Rhinolophus ferrumequinum: one gene and its partner. The protein of the gene in region 1 interacts with the protein of each later gene in a pairwise test. Links are inferred from orthologs where the notes say so. Each region holds a gene or a part of one and is shown on either strand. Other genes may lie near its edges.

Region 1 (11,448 bases):
GAAAGTAGCACCTAGACTTTCTAAAAATAAATATTTCCACTGTTGAGATATTTGGCAATATTTCGCTTCATCATATGATGATGCAAACAAAACAATGATGAATCTACCAAAATTTGTGAAGAATTCAGGTTACCAAGTCTTGCCAATCAGAGCACCTGGAATACTCTCAATTGGACAAAAATTTATTAATCCTCCTAAAGGTATGGAATCACCATATTTGAATCTATAAATTTGAACAGATCTATGTCTGTCAGCGGACAGGCATGCTTGACAGCAAACAATAATATTTCCATATATATATATATATACATTTGTAGCCCCAAATTATTATGAAGATAATAGTTCTATCGATTTAAGAACATAAATCTGTCCTCAGTACCCAAAATAATGTATATGCATCAAATTACATTATAGTACAATATATGTATTATTAATCATTAAACTAAGAAAGAATAAAAAAAGTTTCAGCCATTGATTTTGGTCTTCTGAATACACAAATACAACTCCTTTGCATCAGCATTAGTCCCAGACTTAATTAGAATTATGGAGAAACATATAGATCATCTAGTCCAACTCCTTAACTTGTGAGACAAGGAATCTAGGTCCATGGAAGGAAAGCTTATCAAGATTCACATGGGGCAAAAGTGGAATTAAAATCCAGGTATCTGGATTCACAGTTTAGTGCACTTACCAGAAGTAGCATAGATATAAATAACCTTATCTAATTTCATCTGGCAAGCAAATTCAGAGGCTGAGTGGAACTTGAAAGATAATGCTGAGTTTGCTGTTTCATCATATGTAAAAACACCTTCCATAACAAATGGATAATTAAATATGATAATCATAGAAGGAAAATTATTTAATTTAATCAAACATATTATAAACACTCTTCAACCATACTATTCAAGATCTTTTCTAAATAGCAATCGAATTCATAAAATGTTTGGGCTCTTTCATTAGCTTTCTCAGAATCATTCCTACTGAAAACACACAGCAGCAACAACTGAAATAAAACAAACCACACACACACACACACACAAATAGCAAAATTACCAACAAAATAGTTCTTTTAAACATGGCCTCCAATTCTAAACATAATAGTAACAATAGAGCACTAATTTGCATCTATCATCAATCACAAAAGCAAAACAAATCATTGTGAAAGCTTATTGGTTTATATCACTGCATATATATATATATATATATATATATATGCAAATATATATAGTGTGCCAAATACACACACAAATATATAGGGTGCCAAAAAAATGTATACACATTTTAAGAAAGGAAAAAACTGTATTAAAAGTATAATACTTAATATATACCGATAATAAAAGATGAATACAAGTCATGTGTATACATTTTTTGGCACTCCGGTATATATATAAGCTTCCGGAAAAATCATTCCGAAGAACTGAATCATCTGGATCATTTTTATTACTCACTCAGTCTTGAGACTGTCTGCACAGTACTGACTGAAATGTACTTCAGTGTGCACCTTCCTTCCAAATGAATATCTATGTCAGGTTTATTTATAGCCACTGCCTTCAATCAGTGCATTTCCAGGTATGAGAAGGAAAATCATCTCAACAATACTCTCTCATACAGATGTGAACCAAAACCTGGAAATCTTAACAAATGGCCTTTGAAAAGGTAATGAAAGATCTATAATGTAAAATGTACATTAAGATTTATTAAAGAGTCCAAAGGATACTCACCTTACCCTCCTTAATAAGCACACATAAAAAGCCTCAGGTAATGAGAGAACGAATTTAAACTTTATGCATCTGTTTGCGTCTCTTTATACCCTTCAAGATTTTTATCATCACCTCCTCCATTCTCTTATCCTCATTATGATTTCTCTGAAATTTAGACACCTCTCTTTGTTTCTTACTTAGATTATTTTCTCTCTATTTATGAGCTTTTCCTCCTAAGGCTTTACAAAAGTAGGACATGCTTCCCCCTACTGGGAAAAAATTAAATTACAAGGTACATCTGAACATGTTCTTAAGTATCAAGAAATCAAGTTCCTAGGAAAGATAAAATGCTTAAAGAACCAGGTGCACAGCCTTCTCTGACTGTTTCACCAGTCGCAGAAATACTTTGCACTCCATTAAGACTTTCTCACATTCATTTCTTTAGCTTGGCCGTTTTAAAAAATACACTCTCATTAGTGAAAGATGAATTAATCACTGAGCCTGCTGCCCCAAAGAGAACTCCAATGAGCAGGTTACAGAAAATCATCAATTTGTAGTATACTGTTTTCATTTTAAAGATATTAATAGCTAAATGAAGATACTTCTGGAAAATATATTGAACTAAGCAATTTGAGAAGGCCTACTTGCATTTTTAATCGTTTTGAACAATCCTAAGCATTTATTAACTCATTAATTTTCCTATGTATTGATGTAATTATCTAATTTTTTAATAGAGGGAGAGTTTAATTTTTTAATTGACTTCACTTTTCTACTTTATTTGCTTTAATTCAGTAACCAAAAAAGTAGTAAGCATAATTACATTTTATCTTCCCAAATACTCTACAAAACCAACTTGTTTCTTGAAAAATAGTTTACTTGTTTCACACATTCAATATTTTGTTTATAAATTCTTTAATTGTTTACTATGAAAAAAGGAAAAACACCTACACATTATTATTGTTATAAATAATAATCTATCAATATAATCTTGAAATAGACAGAATGCCTATTTGAATCATACATGGAGGGTCAGAATTTTTCCTTCCATGTACAACTACATAAGTCTCAAAAAAGAAAACATTTATTTTAATGCTGAAGGGCTGAGGAAGAGGAAGTTGGTCACTTTTAGTTTTGCTATAGGTTAAGCCCATAGCAACCTAAGCTACAAAACTGCATTGTAGTCAAATTGATGATGAAACGATTCATTAATAATGAAGGATTAATAAAAAAAAAAAGCCTGGAGTTTTTTTTTTTTTAAGGTATGTGTATGTTAGTTACTACAGATATCATGAAAATCTTTAGCAGTCCGAAGGCGATATTTCAAGATAAATGATGCGATTTGGCTAATGTTTCTGTCATACAGAAGTTTGTGTGTGTGTGTGTGTGTGTGTGTGTGTATGTGTGTGTGTGTGTTTAAACAACCTTTCAAAGCCATGCAAAAAAACAAGACATATGTTTCTCTGGGGATGAAATCTCCATTAACACTACAGGTACACAAAAGAAAATGCACACTTGGTAAAACAGTTGATCAATTGTGGAGTGTTCCCAGGGACCAGCAACTCGCAGAGTAACCCAATCATCGCACTTCAAATAAATTGATAAGCACTTTAGCCTCTGCCACATTCACAAACATAGACGAACATGAATAGTTTAATTCTAAGCCTTTCCATAGGAAAGACTGTAATTAGACTAAAGGGTAACAGAATCACTTCCCAAATGCAGAAAAAAAAATGCTGATGTGTAACTAAGAAGCTCTTAGAATACTACATTGGTGATCATTTACTTCTAAACTGATTACCCTTTCCTCTGCGAAGTGAAAATATCCCTGTGAACCGCGTTACACTTTATGGTGTCTCTATCAATGATTCTAAAAGGTCACATCACCACTGTCATTAGATCTCCTAGCTTTGATCTTTCCCCAAATTAAAAGGAGCATTGTTGCCCGCCCCAAGAATAGGTTCTGTCCTCCCGAGCTCCGATGCTCAGTCCGCGAGCATCTTCAGGGGCACAGTTTCTGCGAAGGAGACAGTCGTCCCTCCCCAACTTCACTCCCCTTAACCAAGCCGCGGGTGCTATGGGCGGCCGGCGGTTTGTGCACATCTATAGAGGCAAGTCCTACCTTCCGCCAAAAGGCGTGATGCATGCACAAAAGATGGATCCAGGCTATCTTTCTCTGCCATCAGCTCAGGCAAATATTTCTCCTCTTCCATAGCGCGGACTTCGGACAGTCCCCGGGCGAAGCGCAAGGTTCCGCTCGCTCAGACGCAGGGTCGCCGGGCAGCGCCTGGCTCCCGCGCTGCTCTGCCTCTGCCGGGGAGAGGGGATCTCCGCGCGTCCTCACTGGCCCATGCACAGAGCACCTGCAACTCCAGCCGTCGGGCTGCACGGCCCAGCGCCCACACCTGCCCGTCCCTACCGTCGTCCCTGGATCGCGCAGTCCCGGCTCACACAAGCGGCCTTAACTGGAGAGGCGGGAACAGGACGCGTCCCACCTCTGCCAACCACTCATTGGTGGTGGTGCTATGAGAGGCGGGGCCCCCGCGAAGGCCGAGGGCTCTCATTGGGCAGAGCCGCACGTCGGATCGCCTGACTGGCAGGAGGCAGCTGTAGATGGGAGGGGGGCGCAGAAGGTGCAAACGCTTTCTTCTTGCAGACCAAGCCTTCGCTGGTTATTAGGCATGCCCAGTTGTGTGGAGCCCTCTGTGTCTTCAGCAGAGGTGCAGAGGGGGTAGAGAGCGGGAAAAGCACCCGTTAAGCAGAGAAGCTCGGGTCCAAGACGTCAGGGGAAATGGGGATGAGGAGTGCAAGGCTGAGGGGAGGGAAAGCACCAGGGAAAGTCTCAGGAAGGTAGATAGGACTTCACCTGAGTCCCTAAGGCACAGGTGTCTCCTCTCCCTCATGCGGCTCAGACGCACTCCACTGTGCAGGAATCGGCAGCGCACCCAGTCTGGAAACATAATGAAGACTGCGTTTGATCGGCGGCTTGTGTTTTCTAAGAGCCTGACCTACATCTCGGGGACGCTGTAGGATGTTCATTGATAAACAAATAAAGCGGGTCTGGGGCGATATTGTTGTAGCAATACGCTTCCAGCGTACGATCACTGGGGTATTGACTTGATTCTGGTTTTTCTCCCATCCATCCCTCCTCTCCAATCCATCCCTATCTATGGGAGGGGTTCCGGGAGAGGGCTGAATTCTACAACTGAAAAGCAACACAATTAGCCACAATTAGTGAAGGAATTAGGGAGACATGTGGTAAAAGGAAGAGACTAGTTAAACAGGTAACCCCAGTTGCTCAAATTTCCCCCTTTCTCCGTATTTTAGATGTGATAGCCTTTCACCAAGTGCCGTTGCTGAGCTAGTTTGTATCTCTCTCACTTTTATTTAAGGAGAGTCAAATGCTGCAGGTATCAACACTCGAGGCAGTTCCCATCCTTCTCTTAACAATGGGATCTGATAATGCAGCTTGCATGCTTCAATGTTACAAAACTATTGTCTCTTTTCATAAACAATCATTTTATTCAATTCGCCTCTCCCCCCACCATTTTGGTGTGAAAGAATGGGGGCTAACTTTCCTACAAAAAAGCATGCTGAAACTTTTCCAAGTTCTTAATGTAGTCAAATCTTTTCCTTATTTATTTTTCAGGATAAGGTTGGGAGATTATTTTTTACTTATGTTTTACATTTTTTATGTGACTTCACATCCATGATCTCAATTTGTCCTCAAAAAAGCACTCTGTGAAACATGGTTCAAGTATTACTTTCTGTTTTATAAATGTGGCAACTAAGGCACAGACAGACAAGTCAGTAATCCAGAAGTAACAAACATGACTTCTTTCGGCACCAGAAATTGTTCATCCTACCTGGAAGCTGAGTGTATGCTACCACAGGGCCAATGATGAGGGAGTACATGGCTAACAAATATGATCGGGTGGTTAAAAGTTCATGAAATAAACTGTGAGAACTATGACTAATTGATAATTTTATTTTTTGACAGTAGAAATGCTGCCAATCTTCAGAGAGGTGGCCAGAAGCTACTGTAGTGGAGGGTGGGTAAGATGCCAAACACAACTAATAAATTGTAAACACTTTGGAATGAGTATAAATTAGAAAATTTATTGTGCAGTAATTGTAATCACATTTTGCTTTGCATCATACCAAAAGATTAAAAGCATGTAGTGCTTATGGGGCCATGCACAAACCCAGTTTCATGAATCAAAAACATGCAGTAATTCTTGTTACGTCCGGCAACAGCAATTACATTATCTATTCATAGTCCTCTTTTCCATGATTAAAGGTGCAGAAAGAAGATACCATGGAAAGTAGTCCAAGGGTTGACTTTATTATACAATGTCTGTAGATATTCATGTCATTATAAATATGGTAAACTAGCTAGCTAACTTTTATATTCCTAATTATTACCAAAAAATATTTATAATTTTATTTTCTCAGGTAAACTCTCAGCAAACATCTAAATTTCACTTTAAAAGGGGAAATGCATTTCCAAACAGAATATGACTGAATAAAGGTGCCCTACACATACATTTATCCTACATCAGATCCCTATATTTTCAATAGCTGACTCTATCTCACCATATGTTCTCTGCTCGTTTCACATATGAATATTTTACAGTTACCACAATTACACAGTGGATATCCTCAGCACAACTTTATTAATACAAACATTTTATAAACATAAATGTAAATAAATTGAGAGCCTTCTATAGATAATTGTTGAATAGATAGTATCATATGTCTAAACATGAATAAATTATAACTACTGGTAAGCCCACCTCTTTTTCTAATGGTGTAAATAACTTAACCATATTGACCACTGAATTGATTTGTATATCTTAGGTAAAGATTTATCTCATTTTAAACATGAGTTCTAGTCCTGAAAGGTGTTTTTTTTTTGTTTTTGTTTTTGTTTTTTAATGGTATTCCATTTACTGCACTATTATTTCAACAATGGGATATTATGGAACATTTTGCTCCAACCAAACTTGGTTCTGAAGGGTCAACAAGGCATGCATTATAGACTATGTCCTATAATTAATGCACAAACTTTGTATTCAATGCTTTTACAAACCTTTATAAGAAAGGCCAGGATAAAGGGCATTTAATCAGGCTTATCATTGCACACTAACAAAAAAAAATACCCAACCTATAATATTACATAAAACACACAGTTTTTATTTCAGAGTTCTCATCAACTTTAGGGATATGTCACTAGTCTGACTACTTACTCCAAGAATTCATTAGAAGCCACTCAAATAAGAACCAAGGGTTAATAAAATTGTAACAGCCAGATCATTTACACTAAGCTTTCTAATATCCTGGTGCCTGGGACAGAGTATAATGAAGGACTAAAATATTGAATGACTCATTTTCATCTACTAAAGAGTCTGACAGAGTCCATTACATAGGTGTTTTTTAATGTTTCGATTTATTTTAGTTTCACTAACTGAACAAGTGAAATTGCTCCAGCTTCTTTTATAACTTTTATGATATATTTTAGGGTTGCAAGTAGAAAAGAAGAGAATTAGGACTTGGCTGTGCCAACAACCAATAGCAACAGTAGCACATGCAGTGAGAAATCTCTCATAGGTAATGAGTTCAGAGCCAAAATTTATGCTATATGCTAATACGCTACAGCACAAAATGAATATTCACTACTCAAAGCTGGTATTTATACACACACACATATATATGTATAGAACTTTTTTCATATATACATATGAAAGTTTTCTGATTGGAAAAGTTTTTTTAATTATCATATTGAATTTTAACAGACACAAATGTATAATTCAAGGAGAGCAGAAGAGAGAGAAAGGACTGATATTGGTTGAAAGCCTACTAGTATTTTGTTTGGAATATTGCTATTCTGAATCTTCACAAATATAAGACAGGAAGGCCAAGAAAAAAGCTGTTCCTATTCTAAAGTGGCCTAACAACTCAAATAAACCATTTCTGATGTGGAAATTATCTCTGTTTGGAAAACTGACAAAGTTCATCTTGTTATACATCTCTATGGACAATCACTGCACTAACACATTTTGGTTGACGTTGATAGCCGCTGAGGAACAGTTACTGCATTACAGAAAAGGCGAATGAAGTGATTGTTTCAAGGTGAAAGTTATTGACTGTCTTCTTCAAATTAAATCCTTGAATTGTTGAATTGTAGCTCACATATTGATTATTACTGGAGATCAATATATTAAGGTGAAAAATCACATCAGTAAAATATAATGTTTTCATGCACAGCAAATGAAGACCTGAGCTCTGTTGTATTCAGTATAAAATAAATAGATGAAGGCTAAGGAATGATGTAATAAAAACAATCTTCAAGGACACGAAAACTTTTGCCACAGAGGCAGATGTATAAGCAGTCGTTTTATATCATGACTAAAACAAGGGAAGAAAGAGTGGATTGAATTTCAGTTGTATTAGTTTTTAAACATTCATGGAAAGAACCGTTAATATTGGAATAGTGTTTTAAGAGACCACCATCACATAAAAGGCTTTAAAATACTGCAGATACTTGCTATAATTTTTTTTATTATTCTGATCTTTCACATTAAATGATATTGCCGTGCAGGAAACAATCACTGTGAAATCCTACTGTATAAAACAGTTATTACAAAGTAAGTACAAGCCATTTGAAGAGAATGGTAATGAAATTAGAAAACACAGTTCCAGAGACAAGATTTTATCAGCCCAACAGTGAAGAGAGAACAAAATAAAAAAATCAGAGATATAGACATTTTGTAAGATATTGGGTGATAGATTACCACGACCAACCAGGAAAGAGCTAATAAATACCATGAATATTATCTCAATACATGAAAACTGAACATAAAGTATAATCCTAGATTAAATCCTGGGCCAGATTTTGTTTTTATTTTATTTGTTTCTACATACTATAAAGGACAGTAATGGGATAATTGGAAAAATGTGATAAGGTCTATAGTTTTAGTTCACTGATTTTGCTAACTGTATTGTGATTATATAAATGAGTGTCTATGTTTTTAAAAATACAAAATTAAGTATTTAAGGGGGAAAGGGATATCATGTCTGCAACTTACTCTCAAATAATTAAGAAAAAATATATTTATATACAGAGGAAGAGAAAGAAAGAGACATAGAAACAGAAAAAGATGATACAGCAAATATGGTGAAATATTAACATTTGTATAAATTAGATGAAGGGAGTTTTAGATTATCCTATCTTCTTTTCACACCTTTTCCATAAATCTATAACTGCTTTAAAATTTTTTTAAAACTTTAAAAAATCTAGATATTACCTAAAATAACCTCAAAATATTTTATCCAAACCTTGGTTTACTAGTTAGCGATGGAGAGCATAAGCCCATACTTTTATTATGAGACCTATATTATAGCATGCATTGAAATCACAAATTTGGCCACTAATTACCAAATATGTTCTTAATAACTTTAAAAATCTCACTGAAAAAGCAAATATATTACCTACTTATCTCTCTTTTTCCCTAAACAAACATATAATACAAATAATTATGTTGGTTTACTTATTTCCTTTAAAAATAAAATTTTCAGCAATTTACTACAGAATTAGCCATTTTTAGAGAATTTTTTTAAATGAACTATAGGAATAAAAAAATTTATTTTGAATAGATACTAGTATTAACTGTAGCTCTATTTTAATGGTATGGAAGGAAAATGAGAAGAAACTGTTTAGTGTTCATGCATCCTGTGTATAATTGTAGATTTTGACCATTTCATAACATCCCTGTATTTCTGTTTTTACCCTGTGTCTTCTAAGTACTTTTATCCAGTTTATTGGACACCGTAGACAAAGTGCATGCTTCTTTATATCATAATGTGTTCTGCATGCTCCTAAATGCATTTAGTTGCCTGGTTCAAAAACTAAGGGGAAAATGGAAGTAATGGAACATGGTGACAAACGTTGTATGGTACAAGTTGTGGCACATGTTTAGGAGCAGTACATGTTGCCATCTTACTATGGCAAAACTTTGGGAACAGTCACCCCCCCATCATAAAAACACTCAGAAAACTAGGAATAGAAAGAACTTTACGAATATGATAAAAGATAAAAGGTATGAAAAAACAAAAGCTAATATCATAATGAAGGGCGAAAGATTAAACACCCACTAAGATCAGGAAGAAGACAAGTCTGTTGGCTTTCACCACTTCTATTCAACTTAATATTGGAAGCTCTAGTCAGAGCAATTAGGCAAGAATAACAATAAAGGACATTCAAATTTGAAAGGAAGAAGTTAAATGTATATTTATTCATGGATACATGACCCCACATGTAGAAAATCCCAAATAATACATAGCAAACTACTATTAAATTGGTGCAAAGAGGAAAAACTGAGGGTTGCTAGATGGGCGGTGGGGGTGGGGGTAAGGGGGAAGGTGAGGGGATTATAAACAATCAGTAACGACAAGATAGTCATGGGGTTTTGAAAATTAATCTGGGGAACATAATTTAGTGGTTACCAGAGGGTAAGGGGGTTGGGGGGTGGGAGATGAGGGTAAGGGGGATCAAATATATGGTGATGGAAGGAGAACTGACTCTGGGTGGTGAACACACAATGTAATTTATAGATGATGTGATACAGAATTGTACACCTGAAATCTATGTAATTTTACTAACAATTGTCACCCCAATAAATTAAAAAAATAAAATAAAAAAAATTTAAAAAAAAGTAATTGCGATTTAAAATGTTAAAAATAATTGCAAAAACGGCAATGACTTTTGCATCAACCTAACAGAAGTAATAAAAAATTCAACAAATTTGCAATTTTAAGATCAGAACACAAGAAATGTTTTTATACACAAGAAATGAATAATCTCAAAAGGACGTTAAGAAAAACATTCCATTTTGTTAGCATACAAGAGAATAAAATACACAGGAATAAATTTAACCAAGAAGATGAAAGGCTTACACACTTAAAACTATGAAATATTACTGAAAAAAATTAAAGTGACTAAATACATTGAAGGACATCCAATATTTATTAATTGTAAGGCTTAATATTTTTAAGGCAATACTACCCAAAGCAAACTACAGAGTCAATGTCATCTCTGTTAATATTCTAACAGCACTGTTGCAGCAATGTAAGTTAATCCTCAAATTCATAGAGAAATGCAAAGGACTCCAAATATCCAAAACAACATTGAAAAAGAACAGAATTGGATTACTCACACTTCTTTTTTTTCTTTTTCTTTTTTTTGGTTTTGTTTTGTTTTGTTTTTTAAGTAAGGTTTATTGGGGTACAAGTGTTAGTAAACTTGCATAGGTTTCAGGTGTACAATTCTGTATTACATCATTTATATATCTCATTGTGTGTTCACCACCCAGAGTCAGTTCTCGTTCTATCACCATATATTTGATCTCTTTTACCCTCATCTACACTCCCCTTCCCCCCACCCTCTGGTAACCACTATACTATTGTCTGTGTCTATGAGTTTTTGTTATAAAAATGAAAACAACAAAGGAACGAGACAAATAAATGAAGATACTCACACTTCTTGATTTCAAAACTTACTGCAAAGCTACAGTAATCAAAAAATTGTGGTACTAGAGTATACATAAACATACAGATAGTGAAAAAGACTAGAAGTCCAGAAGGAAACCTATATATCAAAAGCCAAACGATTTTTGAAAACAGTTCGAAGACCATTCAAAGAGGAAAACATAGCCTCTTCAACAAATGGTGCTGGAACAACTGGATATCTGAG
Region 2 (11,748 bases), about 25 Mb from region 1:
TACTACTATTAAAAAAAATGGTAAAAAGAAAAAAAATTAATTTTCAGTTCTCCAATGGCTCTCATCCCTCCCTCATGCCCACAACTGCTGGCCCATTTCCTCAGGGCCAGTTCAAAACTGAGACTGTTCATTGTAGTTTTCACAGAAAACAACCAGTGCCAGGGATGTAGGGAAAGAAGGTGACAGTATTGTACAGTTTCTACCCAAAAGTAGGCCAGATGGAGATTCACAGAATTCACATGAACAGGCTGGCAGCCTCACAATGACGAAGTCTAACGAAAATGGAGACAGGAGATAGGGTAGGCCCATCAGAGGCTTGAGAGGACATCTCACAGGTCTGTGTGAAACCCATAAAAACCAACCCCAGAGGAATGGGGAGGACCAGGGAGGCAGTCTTGTGGAAAGTTTCACAATTCTCCCAGGTTAGGAGGTGGGGGAAAAACTAGAGGGCACCAAGAGCCTCCCTCATTTTGGCAGAAATATTCTAGTGTTGGGAAGTCACAAAAATGCCATGGACACTGAGAACGGCTATAAGGGGATGCACAGTTTCACAAAGCACAGTGATCACAGACCACAGCAGCAGGGATCACGCTACTGATGCAGAAACTACGAAAAAAAAGGGAGCGTGGCCTCCATGGAGTGACTCTGTACCAGTCACCCAAACTTGATCCCAGGTCAGACAACCTGGTGAGTTTCACAGAGCAGCTGACACCACAAGGAGTAGGGGGCGTCACATAGAAAGGACTTCAAACAAGCAGCTAGAAGAAGGGAATGGTAGGAAACTGCTCCAAGGCTCAGGAATTGAGGGCAATACTGGGGGCTGGGTGGACAGATGCACAAGAAACAGCACCAAATAGGTTTCCTGTTCAGCAGTCAGTTGGTGAGGGGAAGCCTCTAAAGGCAGCCAAGATGGGGTCCGGAAGGCGAGTCCCTGGAGGCTGAACCAGAAGAAAGTGCACACTGTGCACCACTGATGAAACACAACTCTGGACCCCAAACGCGGAAGTGATGGGTCGGGGCAGGCGTCACTGACTGAGGGTGGTGGGTGGAACACCTCACAGAGCCATCACAGGGCCCCAGGCAAACACATGGCCGCTAGGTCACAGAGGGCTCCTTCCAGCTTGGACGGGAAGGCACATTCTCACAGAGGAGGTCCATTGACGCCTGGGTGGTAGAAGGCACAGAGATCCTCGTATCGACAGTGGCCCCTTTTGGCAAAGTGTCGGCAGACAGGGCGATCAGATTTGTCTGTGAATAACCGAAAATCGGGCAATTTAAAATGTAAGAAAGAAAACAAATGTAAGAGAAAGCAGAGCTAGAGAAGGTGGTCTGATTTCCTATTCTCTACCATTTCCAGATATTTTAGAATGGTAGTCTTTCTCCGGGGAGAAAAACATTCTGGCCTACTCCTACTTCAGAAGGACAGCCCCAAAGAGAAGAGTCAGGGTCACTTTGGGAGTGCAGGATATTAAATGTATACAGGCATAAAAAAAATGGACCTCACCTTCCTTAACCTGGGGTCCATCCTTGGGTGGGCAGGTATTTTTGACAAGTGACCAGCTTTTGAGCCTTCGAGGATGTCTCTGTTCTTTGTGAAAGCCTCCCCTGGAAGGACCATGGCTTGGTCCGGGAACAGGAGGCTCAGCATTGATCCCCCACCAACCACGACCATATGGGCCAAACCTGGGGCCTAAGCCTCCCCAAACCGGGCCTCTGCCCCGGGAAGGAGGTGGGAGACTCAGCAGTGGTGGAATCACCGGTCCCCTTGATCCTGGAGGACCTCTGTGAAGAGCTAGAGAGAGAGAGAAAGCCATGGAAAGGTGATCAATGGCCAGCTTATTCCTGATAAAAAAGCCTTGATTTTTTAAAAACTTTTTATTGAAGCACATTATACATACAAAAAAATACACCAATTTCAACTGCACAACTCAATTATCACCAAAGTAAACATACTTGTGTTTCCACCACCCAGGTGAAGAGATAGGACCTCATTAGCACTTCAGAAGTCACCCCCCCCTTGTGCCCCTCCTCCCCCACCACCCACCCTCCTCCCCAAAGGTAACCAATGTCCTGACTTCTGGCACCACAGGTTAGTTTTTGCCTGGTTTTGAACTTTGCATAAGTGGAATCATACAGTCTGCATTCTTTTGTGTCTGGATCCTTTCGCTCAACATCATGTTTGTGAGATTCATCCAAGTTGCCTGTAGCAGGAGCTCGTTCATTTTCAGTGCAGTGTAGTATCCCATTGCATGCACACACAACAACTTATTTATCCATTCTAGTGATGGTGGACATGTGGGTGGATTCCAGTTTGGGGCTATAAGGAAAAATGCTGCTATAAACATTTTTGTACATGTCGTTACACATATGTATGCATTTCTGTTGAGTATATATACCTAGGAGAGGTATTATTGGGTCCTAGCGTATATGTATGCTCAAGTTTAATAGATAAAGTTAAACTTTTCCCAAAGTGGTTGTACCAATTTATACCGCCACCAGCAGTTCGTTGTTTCATTGCCTTGACAACACTTGGTATTAATCAATCTTTTTCATTTCTGCCATTCTGTTGAGTGTGAAGTATTTTTTGTTTTTGTTTTTTAATTTGTGGTAAAACATGTAACATTAAATTTACCACCTTAACTATTTTTAAGTGTACCTCTCAGTAGTGTTAAGTAAATTAACATTGTTGTGCAACACATCTTCAGAACTTTCTCATCTTCCAACACTGCAACTCTATAGCTACTTACAACACTCCTCTTCCACTGCCACCCAGCCCCTGGCAACCACCATTTTCTTTGTGTCTGAATTGAACTACTTTAGATACTGCACTTAAGTGTAATCATACAGTACTTTTCTTTTTGTGACTGGCTTATTTTACTTAGCATAATGGCCTCAAGGTTCATACATGCTGTAGCATGTGACAAGACTGTCTCACTTTTGAGGGGATGAATAATACTCCACTGTATAAACATACACTTTGTTTAGCTATTCATCTGTCAACAGACATTTAGGTTGCTACCATCTCCACTATTGTGAATAGTGCTGCCATGAACAATCTCTTCCATGCAAATATCTCTTCAAGATTCTGCTTTCCATTCTTTTGGATAAAGACCCAGGAGTAGAATTGCTGGCTCATAAGATAATTCTATTTTTAATTTTTTGAGGAACCTTCATACTGTTTTTCATTGTGTACCACCGTGCAATCCCACCAACAGTGCACAAGCGTTTCAATTTCAAAGTCGTATGTTTTTATCTTGCATTTATTTATCGACTAATGTTCTTGTTCATGTTTTTTGGGTCATTTAGGTTGCGGTTATGAGGTGGCTATTCTGGTCTTTTGCCCATTTTTCTAACAGTTTGTCTAGAAAACTTCTATATATATTCTAGAACAAGCTCTTTATTGATTACATTTGTTGCGAGTATTTTCTACTCTATGGCTCCCTATTAATTTCTTAATAGTGTCATTTGATTAATAGAAGTTTTTATTTTCTAGTGTAGTTCAGTTTATAAATCTTTCCTTTATGGTTGATGTGTTTCCTATCTAAGAACTCTTATCTACTTTAAGACCATGAAATATATTTATTTTCTAGAATTATTTCTTTACCTCTACACTTAGATTTAGAGTCCACTTGGAATTGATGTTTGCATATGGTATGAATAGGTCAAATTTCATCACCCCCACGAATATCCAATTAATCCAGCATTATTTACTGAAAAGACCACTATGTCAGTTCCATCTTCATCATAAATGAAGTGTCCGCGTATGTGTGGGCCTGTTACTGGACTCTTTATGCTATTCTATTGACTCATGTGTCTACCACTGCGCCAACACTACACCGTCACAACCACTATAGCTTTACAATAAGTCTTAATATTCACAGCAACCCCTCGCACTTCAAGCCTGCCTTTGCAATCTCTTACCCTGATCCTTTCATTTCCATATAATAATGTTGAATGTTTATTTCCACACAGACACACACACACACACAAAATAGGGATTATAATTGGGAATGCATTGAATCAACAGATCAATCTGGGAAGAATCGACATTTTTTACAACACTGAGTTTTCCAATCTGTGAATATACAACATCTCTTCATTCATTTAGGTACTAAATTCTGATCTTTTGATTTTAAGTCCTTCCTGGGTTTTAGTCCCTCTCTTGCTCCCTTTTCCAGGACCTAATAAAAAGATCAGGGCCCCTTCCTCCTCACCTGACTTGGGGTCACCAGGCTTTCCATTGGCCATGGGGGGAGGGCCCAGAAGGCTGGGTGGTCCTAAGAGTAGACATGAAAATATGGTCATCATAATGGACTAAAGGACTGATGATCCTATTCTTAAGTTTTTATTCTATTACTCATTTCTTAAATCAACCAGTAAAACCAGGTATATTCTCAGCTGTGTTACAGGTTTTCACCCCATCTATCTGCTCTTTCCTCTGCAAAAGTGTTCAGGATTGATTGGCAAGAAGTGGAGACTCGGTCAAGGGGGATAATGCGGGAGGAATACCTACCTACGACTCTTTCCCTGACACTGTTGCTACCCAAAACATCCAGAGGTAATCCAACCCTTCTCTAATTGGCCAGATAGCTCCCCTCCGCCCCTGTAGTTTAGAGAAAGATACACTTCCACCTTCCCTGTGAAAGTCTGGACACAAATTATCCTGGTCATGCAACCTGCAACCTCTCTAGGGCCGAGCTCTTTATCCTGTCCTCCCCTGCCTTCTTTAGAAAGGTTTAGAGGCCAGATTGAAGTTGAGGGTTCAACTCTTTCAAGGCTCCATCCGGGATAGGCCCTCCACCCCCTGCCCCAGCGCGTGCGCCCTTCTTCCTTCCGTTGGAGCCCACTTCCTCGCACCTTTTCAGCCCCTAACCCCTCGCCCCGACCGCTGGCAGAAATGTGCACACTCCTCCCGGGCTCCTCACCGATGGGAATCCCATCCTCTTCGTCTTCAGTCTTTTCCCGCTTTAGCAGTGGGAGCTGCTGCTGCGGCGGCTGCTGCTGCTGATTCTGCTTCTTTCGTTTCGGCATCGTGGTTGCGGCAATGGCTGCAGCGGGATTTGGAAGACGGTGAGGAAGGGGCACGCTGAGATTCTGTTTCCGCTTCCGTGGGGGCTGTGGACCCGAGGCTGAAGCTCCCACCATTTAACTTCCGGAAGGCTGCAGGGAGCCTTTGTGCAGCTCATTTTCACGTAAGCTGCCACCCTCTGTTTCTGCCAGAAGGCGTAAATCTCAAACTTTCCCTTCGTTGCGCTTCTATAAATGTTTTTAAAAAATTCCTCTCTTCTCCCCTCGCTGAAAAAAACTCCACAACCAGCGCTCCACAGTGTGCAACACAGTTCTCAGGCTCTCCGGCGGGAAGGTCTGAGAAGAGGGCTGTCGCACGCTAAGATCGCCACATCCGGTTCCCGGTTACTATGGTAACAGCAGCAGGCACAACTTCGTGACCTCTGACCTCCCCCCAAAGTCCTTGTCCCACCAGGGCTTCCTTCCTCACCCACCCTTGCCCTGTGATCTGTAAACCTGCTCCTTCTTATCCTCCACCAGGAATTTGGGTCCCAGCAGGGCGGTGTCCTGGACGCTTCAGACCGCCACCAATCCTCAAGACCTCTGACCCTGCCCCCAGTGTAAAACAGCAACTGGGCTCCATTCCCCCGCGCGCAGCCTCGGCTTCCACTCCAGGTCAAGCCCGGGGGCAGGCAAAGCAGCTCCGGCGCGTCCACGCCTCTCTTTCCCGCAGGTGGTAGGACCCGCCCCCCGCTCCACCGCCCCCTCCAGGTGAGTGGTAGCTTCTACCAGACGCGCCAGGTGGTGGTGACACGCGTCCCCCCTCTATCGACCGTGAGTTGGTAGCGTCCGTGACGATGCGAGCCCGATCCTCCCACGCGCGCCTCCTTCCTCGCGGCCGCTGCGCCCTTTCCGTGCCCCCGGCTCTCACATGCGGGGAGCCCACCCGACATCATCTCGCCTAGCTCCGGGAGGGAAGTGACTGTATTTCCGCCCCCCTTCCTCCTTCCAGCCCAGCTACTGGGGCAAATCGGCCGGGCCCGCCCGTTGACGTCACCTTCTAGCTCCGCCCCCTCGAGGGTCCCGGGCCCTTGCGGCGGGGACTGCCCGGGGAGGGTGTAGTCAGTTGAGGCGGCGGGAGCTCGGCGGAGGGAGGGCCAGGTGACTGGTCCGGGCCATGCCGAGGAAGAAGCCCTTCAGCGTGAAGCAGAAGAAGAAGCAGTTGCAGGACAAGCGGGAGCGGAAGCGAGGTCAGTGCGGGAGAGAGAAGAGGGGGCGGGGCTCGGGCTCCCGCACATCTAAAAGGAGGGGTGTGCCCGCCGCGCCTCTGGGGGGCGTGGGAGGGGGTGGTGGCCGTGAGCCGTCGCGCGCGGGTGACCGCAGAGGGGATTCCCTCACTCCAGTCCCCCTACATGGAAGGGGTGGGGAAAGATGGGGAGTTGGGGGAGGGGAATCCCTCCAGCTCGAACGGGCAACATCCCTGCAGATCCCTGGAGGAGGAGTGACTACCCCCACGCACATCTAGGAGGGTCCTCAGCAGGGTGGCTGGGAGAATCGGGCCTCTGAAGAAGTGGGGTGGGGTGAGGGGAAGCCAGATCCAACGGGGAGGGGGTCTTTTGGCCCCTGAGAGCCGGGCAGCACTGGCGTCACCGGCTCCTCCCCTCAGGGCTTCAAGATGGGCTGCGATCCAGTTCCAACAGCCGCAGCGGGAGTCGGGAGCGGCGGGAGGAGCAGACCGACACCTCGGACGGGGAGTCTGTGACCCATCACATCCGTAGGCTCAACCAGCAGCCTTCCCAGGGGCTGGGTCCGCGAGGCTATGACCCAAATCGGTGAGTGGGCGGGGGGCACTGGCCTGGCCTTCCCCGCCTACCAGAAAGTCAGAGCACTGGGGGCTAGCCAGCAGCCGCTGGCTTGAAACTGGAGGTGGTGTGGCTGGGATGCCACAGTTCTCCGCGGGCACTGGGCTCCAGGGAGCGGCCACAATCTTCCCTTCCGGAGGGGCTGGAGAGAGCTTGGCTTTTAGAAGTACAAGACTTAGGGGAAGGCTGAATATTGCGGGAAAGAGGGAGTTGGAGGAGGGCCTACTCAAAGGACAACCTTGGAGAGAAAGCTTTGGTAAGTTGTCTGCCCAAGAGGGGAGTCTTTTTGTGGCCACAGGATTGTAATGGATGCTGTGGTCCTTGTCCCGTTAGATACCGGCTGCATTTTGAGAGGGACAGCCGGGAGGAGGTGGAGAGGAGAAAGAGAGCAGCCCGGGAGCAAGTGCTGCAGCCTGTCAGTGCTGAAGTGCTGGAGCTGGACATCCGGGAGGTCTACCAGCCTGGCTCAGGTGGGTGAGAGCTGGCTGTTGGTGATAGGCACTGGGCTGGGGGAAGGGCTGTGGAGGAGTGAAAGCTGACTGTGAGGAAGGAGGGGTTTGGGATGCACCCTGCAGTCCTGACACGATCCTCAGACTCCCTTGGGCTTTTTATTGATTTCCCAGTCCTGGACTTTCCCCGACGTCCTCCTTGGAGCTATGAGATGTCCAAGGAGCAACTAATGAGCCAGGAGGAACGGAGCTTCCAGGAATATCTTGGGAAGATTCATGGGGCTTACACCTTGGAGAAACTCAGCTACTTTGAGCACAATCTGGAGGTGAGAATGGAGTGGGGACAAGAATAGGGTGTAGTGACCCAGGGTCAGATTGGTTTGGCGTCAGGCAGGAAAGGGACTCTGGGCTCAGGTTCTCTTCTGCTGACCTTGTCTTTTCAGACGTGGAGGCAGCTGTGGCGAGTGTTAGAGATGTCTGACATTGTCCTGCTTATCACTGATATCCGACACCCAGTGAGTACTGGGATAAGGCTGGGAAAGCCGGAGGTGGGGGTGGGGGGACATTCTTGTGGGGTCAAGGGCAGAGGCAGGAGTTGGGAGACAAAGAGGTATCCTTCTTCCTTCACATTCTCGTGTACCCCGTGCTGATGTCTGCAGTCAGGGTTTCAGTCCTTTACTCACCAGTGTCCCAGACTGTCATTCCTTCCCTGGCTAACTGACTCTCCTCTCTTATTCTTTTGATGAAAAACTACACATCCTGTTTCCCAGCCCAGCAGAGTTAAACCAACAGAAGGTCCTAGAGTGGAGCTCTAGGGGCTTCCATGAAAGCAGCTGGGGGCTTTCCCGTGCCCTGCCCATTAGTCAGCACGAGGCTGACCTGGAATGCTGGGGTAGCGGTTAAGGCTCCAGACTCTGCTGCTGGATGGCCATTGTGTGACCCCGCTCTGCCACTTCCTGTTGTCCTCCAGTGGGAGAAAGGGAGGGTCTGTGGGGATATGCAGGTTGCAGATCCGTAACGGCGTGCACACACGCACATGCCTGCGCAGGTGCACAGGTGCTTCTTACCTCTGCTTTGTCTTCCTAGTTCAATTCAGCTAATTTACCTGTTTTGCCCCAGAATCTGCCACCTCCAGGGTCTTGTCTCCAAGCTGTGCCTGCTGAGCTAGAGGCAGAGGACTCTGGGGTGACCTCCCATTGCTCATTCCCTTGCCATCCCTGTCCCAGGTTGTGAATTTCCCACCAGCGCTTTACGAGTACGTGACTGGAGAACTTGGGCTGGGCCTGGTGCTGGTCCTGAACAAGGTGGACCTGGCCCCGCCGGCTCTCGCGGTCGCCTGGAAGCATTATTTTCACCAACACTTTCCCCAGCTCCATGTCGTCCTTTTCACCTCTTTCCCTCGGGACCCCCGCACCGCACAGGACTCTAGTAGTGGTGAGTGGCAGTGAGGAGGGCAGCATGGGAGAGATGGGGTGGCAGGGGACAAAGGGAGAGCAGAGATGCTTGTTGACAAGGGGGCACCAGATCTTGGACCGAAGGGCGGTGAGACAGGTGGGGTGTGCTAACCCTTTTGTGTTCTCCGATGTCAGTCTTGAAGAAGAGTCGGAGGCGGGGGAGAGGATGGACTCGGGCCCTGGGGCCCGAGCAGTTGCTGAGAGCCTGTGAAGCCATCACTGCAGGGAAAGGTTTGTGCCTCTTAGAGGGAGATGTGACAGGTCATCGGGAGACCCAAGGCCCAGAGTCGTTTTACTCACCTTTTCCGAAGTCAGCTCCTCTATCCTGGCACAGGCGAGAGGCTGGGGGAGGGGTGGAAGAGGGAGCAGACCGACTTGGTGGGACAGGAGAGGTAGCAGGTCGGCAGGAGCCCCAGGGTCGCTGCCTTCAGGCTTCCCAGGACTTTTCAGAAAACTCAGAGAAATGCATGTGATTCCAGGGTGGTGTCAAGTGAAGGCTGGGGAGAGTCGGCTGTGGTGCAGGTTGGCACTACTCAACTCCAGAGGGCACCAGTTCCATCAGCTGTGCAGTATAGTCTGTGCCGTCACGTACAGTGGCTCTGGGGAGAACCTTCTTTGTCTTCTTCCCTGAGCAGTGGACTTGAGCAGCTGGCGGGAGAAGATTGCCCGGGATGTGGCTGGGGCCAGCTGGGGGAATGGCTCCGGTGAGGAGGAAGAAGAGGATGATGGGCCCGCGGTGCTGGTGGAGCAGCAGACCGACTCGGCCATGGAGCCGGCCGGCCCAGCCCGGGAGCGCTATAAGGACGGGGTGCTGACCATCGGCTGTGTGGGTAAGGGAGCAGTGCCATGCGTGGCGTGGCGGCCCCCGTGTTTGGAAAAGAGGGGAGCTGATCAGACGTCATTAGGCTCCAGGTCTCTGGAGGCCATGTGCCGTAGTGGAAGGACCATGGGATGCCTGAGTTAAATCCCACCTCTTCTTGGTTGATACTGATTTTGAACACGTATTTACCCACTGAGTTTTAAGTACTTTGGATTTTAAAATGGGAATACTGATACGTAAGTGAAAGAACAGATGTGAGGAGTGAAGGGAAGAGGAAAGAGAGAGCCTAACAAAGCCTGACAAGCAGTGATAATGGCAATAGTAACTAAACATTTGTGTGGTACTTAACTATGTGCCAGGCACTGGACTAAGTGACTTGTATGTGTTAACTCTGGAAGTTGGAGTAATTAGTCCATAGCAGAGGGGCCATGAAATCATAGGGGGAGCTTAACAAGTATTAGTTTCTTTCTTGGTCTGAATCCTTTAAATCTGTTGTCAAGGAGACTCTTGCCTTAATGCAGACATTTGTCTCTGCTCTTGGTGGGGAGAAAGGAAGGTCTCATTAGGGCCCAGAGCCCCTTTTAATTTGAGTGGGGGAGGTGAGAAGTGACTTTGGCAAAGTTGTGGCACTGAGGTATCACTGAACCAGAAAAGGCCCAGCCTGGAAGAAATTAGGGAGAGCAGAGCAGAGTAGTTCGTTGGAAATGCTCCTGACTTACCTTTCAGTTTCCTTTTTGCCTTGGGCAAAACCTGCCTGACTGCTGACAGATTGCTCCCTCTCCAGCCATGCCCCCCTGGCTTTCTTCCCCTGACTTCAGACCCTGCTGTTCCTCCCAGGAGGCTGTATGCCCTCTCCGAGCAGCCTGTGCACTAACTTGACTGTGCTCAGGTGGTGTGACAGGGAGAGTCTGTGGCACCGGCAGCCTGAGTTCGGATCCCCCTCCAGCCCTTGGTCATTTATCCCCCAAATGCTGAGCAGCAGGTGCCAGGTGCTGTTCCAGGGACGGCATGGATGTGCTGCTGTGAGGGTGGCAGGAAGTCCCTGCCCTCATGGAGCTTGTCTTCTTGTGAGTAAATTGATTCATCATTTGAAATCATGTTATTTAGGGGCAATGAAAGGGGATAGAGAACAAGTGGATGAGGAGGCGTCCTCCAGGAAAGACTTAGAAGAGCCTGGGGTGATGGGGAGAAGTGGCTGTTTGGAGATGTGGGGAAAGGGTCTTCCAGGCCAAGGGGCCAGTCAGTGAGAGGGCTTGGGGTGGGAAGGAGCTTGTTGACTGTGGGCCTAGCCAGAGTGACGGAGGATTGAAGAGAGCACAGGAGGAGGTCAGAAAGGTCGTCAGGGACCATGTCATGGGAAGTGTTTGGGATTTATTCCAAGTCCGATGAGAAGCCAGTGGTGGGTTTTGAGCAGAGGAATGAAGATCTGATGTCCACATTTAGAAGTTTATTTGCTGAGTGGAGAATAAATGTGGGGGGTGGGCAAGAAAGGAAGCAGAGAGAGCGTTGTAAGGCTACTTCAGTGGACTTCCAGGTTTTTGTATGAGCAGCTGGGGATACCGAGATAGGAAGATTGGGAGAGGAGCAGATTTGGAGGGGCTGGGAAGGGAAGGGGATTCAGAAACTAAACTTGATATTTAAAAAAAATATCCCAGTGGAGATGTTGAATAGGCAGTGGGTATAGGAGCCTGGAGCTTAGGGAAGAGGACTGGAGATTTGAATTTGGGAGAGATTTAAATTTGGGAGCCATGGGTGGATGTAAATGGTATTTGAAGCCATGGATTGCATGAGATGTGGGATGTAGGTGGAAAGAGGAGGAGGAAACAGAGGGTGTCCCAGACATCAAATGGAAAAGGTGTTTGGAGAGGAAAGGAGGGCTCAGCTGTATCAAATGCTGATGACATGTCCAGTGAGAGGAGAACAGAGACTTTCTCCGCGGACTTGACAGTGTGAACATGAGTGGTTTCAGTGGAGTGGCAGAAAGAAAGCCAGATTGGCCAGTGAGGCCAGTGAGAGAACGGACAACAATATGGCCGAACCTCACATAATGTGGTATGAGACACGAGACAGACAGTTCCATTTTTGTAAAGTTCAAAACCTGCAAAATTGAATGGCACCATTGAGGGATTGTCATGCAGGGACTCACGTGGGGTCTC

The links.
Region 2: the proteins of KHDRBS2 (region 1) and PRR3 interact in binary tests that used the Homo sapiens proteins (3 or more experiments, as listed by UniProt). The two-hybrid records come from large-scale screens. The link is inferred for Rhinolophus ferrumequinum from reciprocal best matches to the Homo sapiens genes KHDRBS2 and PRR3.

The regions. Positions count from the first base shown.
Region 1 is NC_046286.1:26,296,356-26,307,803, forward strand, and holds the start of KHDRBS2 (KH domain-containing, RNA-binding, signal transduction-associated protein 2), read right to left. Parts: upstream 4,186-11,448; 5' UTR 3,911-4,185; coding exon 3,820-3,910; intron 1-3,819. UniProt on the Homo sapiens protein: RNA-binding protein that plays a role in the regulation of alternative splicing and influences mRNA splice site selection and exon inclusion. Binds both poly(A) and poly(U) homopolymers. Phosphorylation by PTK6 inhibits its RNA-binding ability.
Region 2 is NC_046286.1:1,190,294-1,202,041, reverse strand, and holds PRR3 (proline-rich protein 3), read right to left. Parts: upstream 5,174-11,748; 5' UTR 5,146-5,173; coding exon 4,926-5,145; intron 4,278-4,925; coding exon 4,215-4,277; intron 2,318-4,214; coding exon 2,135-2,317; intron 1,793-2,134; coding exon 1,505-1,792; intron 1,249-1,504; coding exon 1,142-1,248; 3' UTR 180-1,141; downstream 1-179. Other genes in the region: GNL1 (guanine nucleotide-binding protein-like 1), read left to right, coding at 6,185-6,257, 6,674-6,839, 7,203-7,339, 7,493-7,644, 7,762-7,833, 8,545-8,752, 8,908-9,003, 9,408-9,602.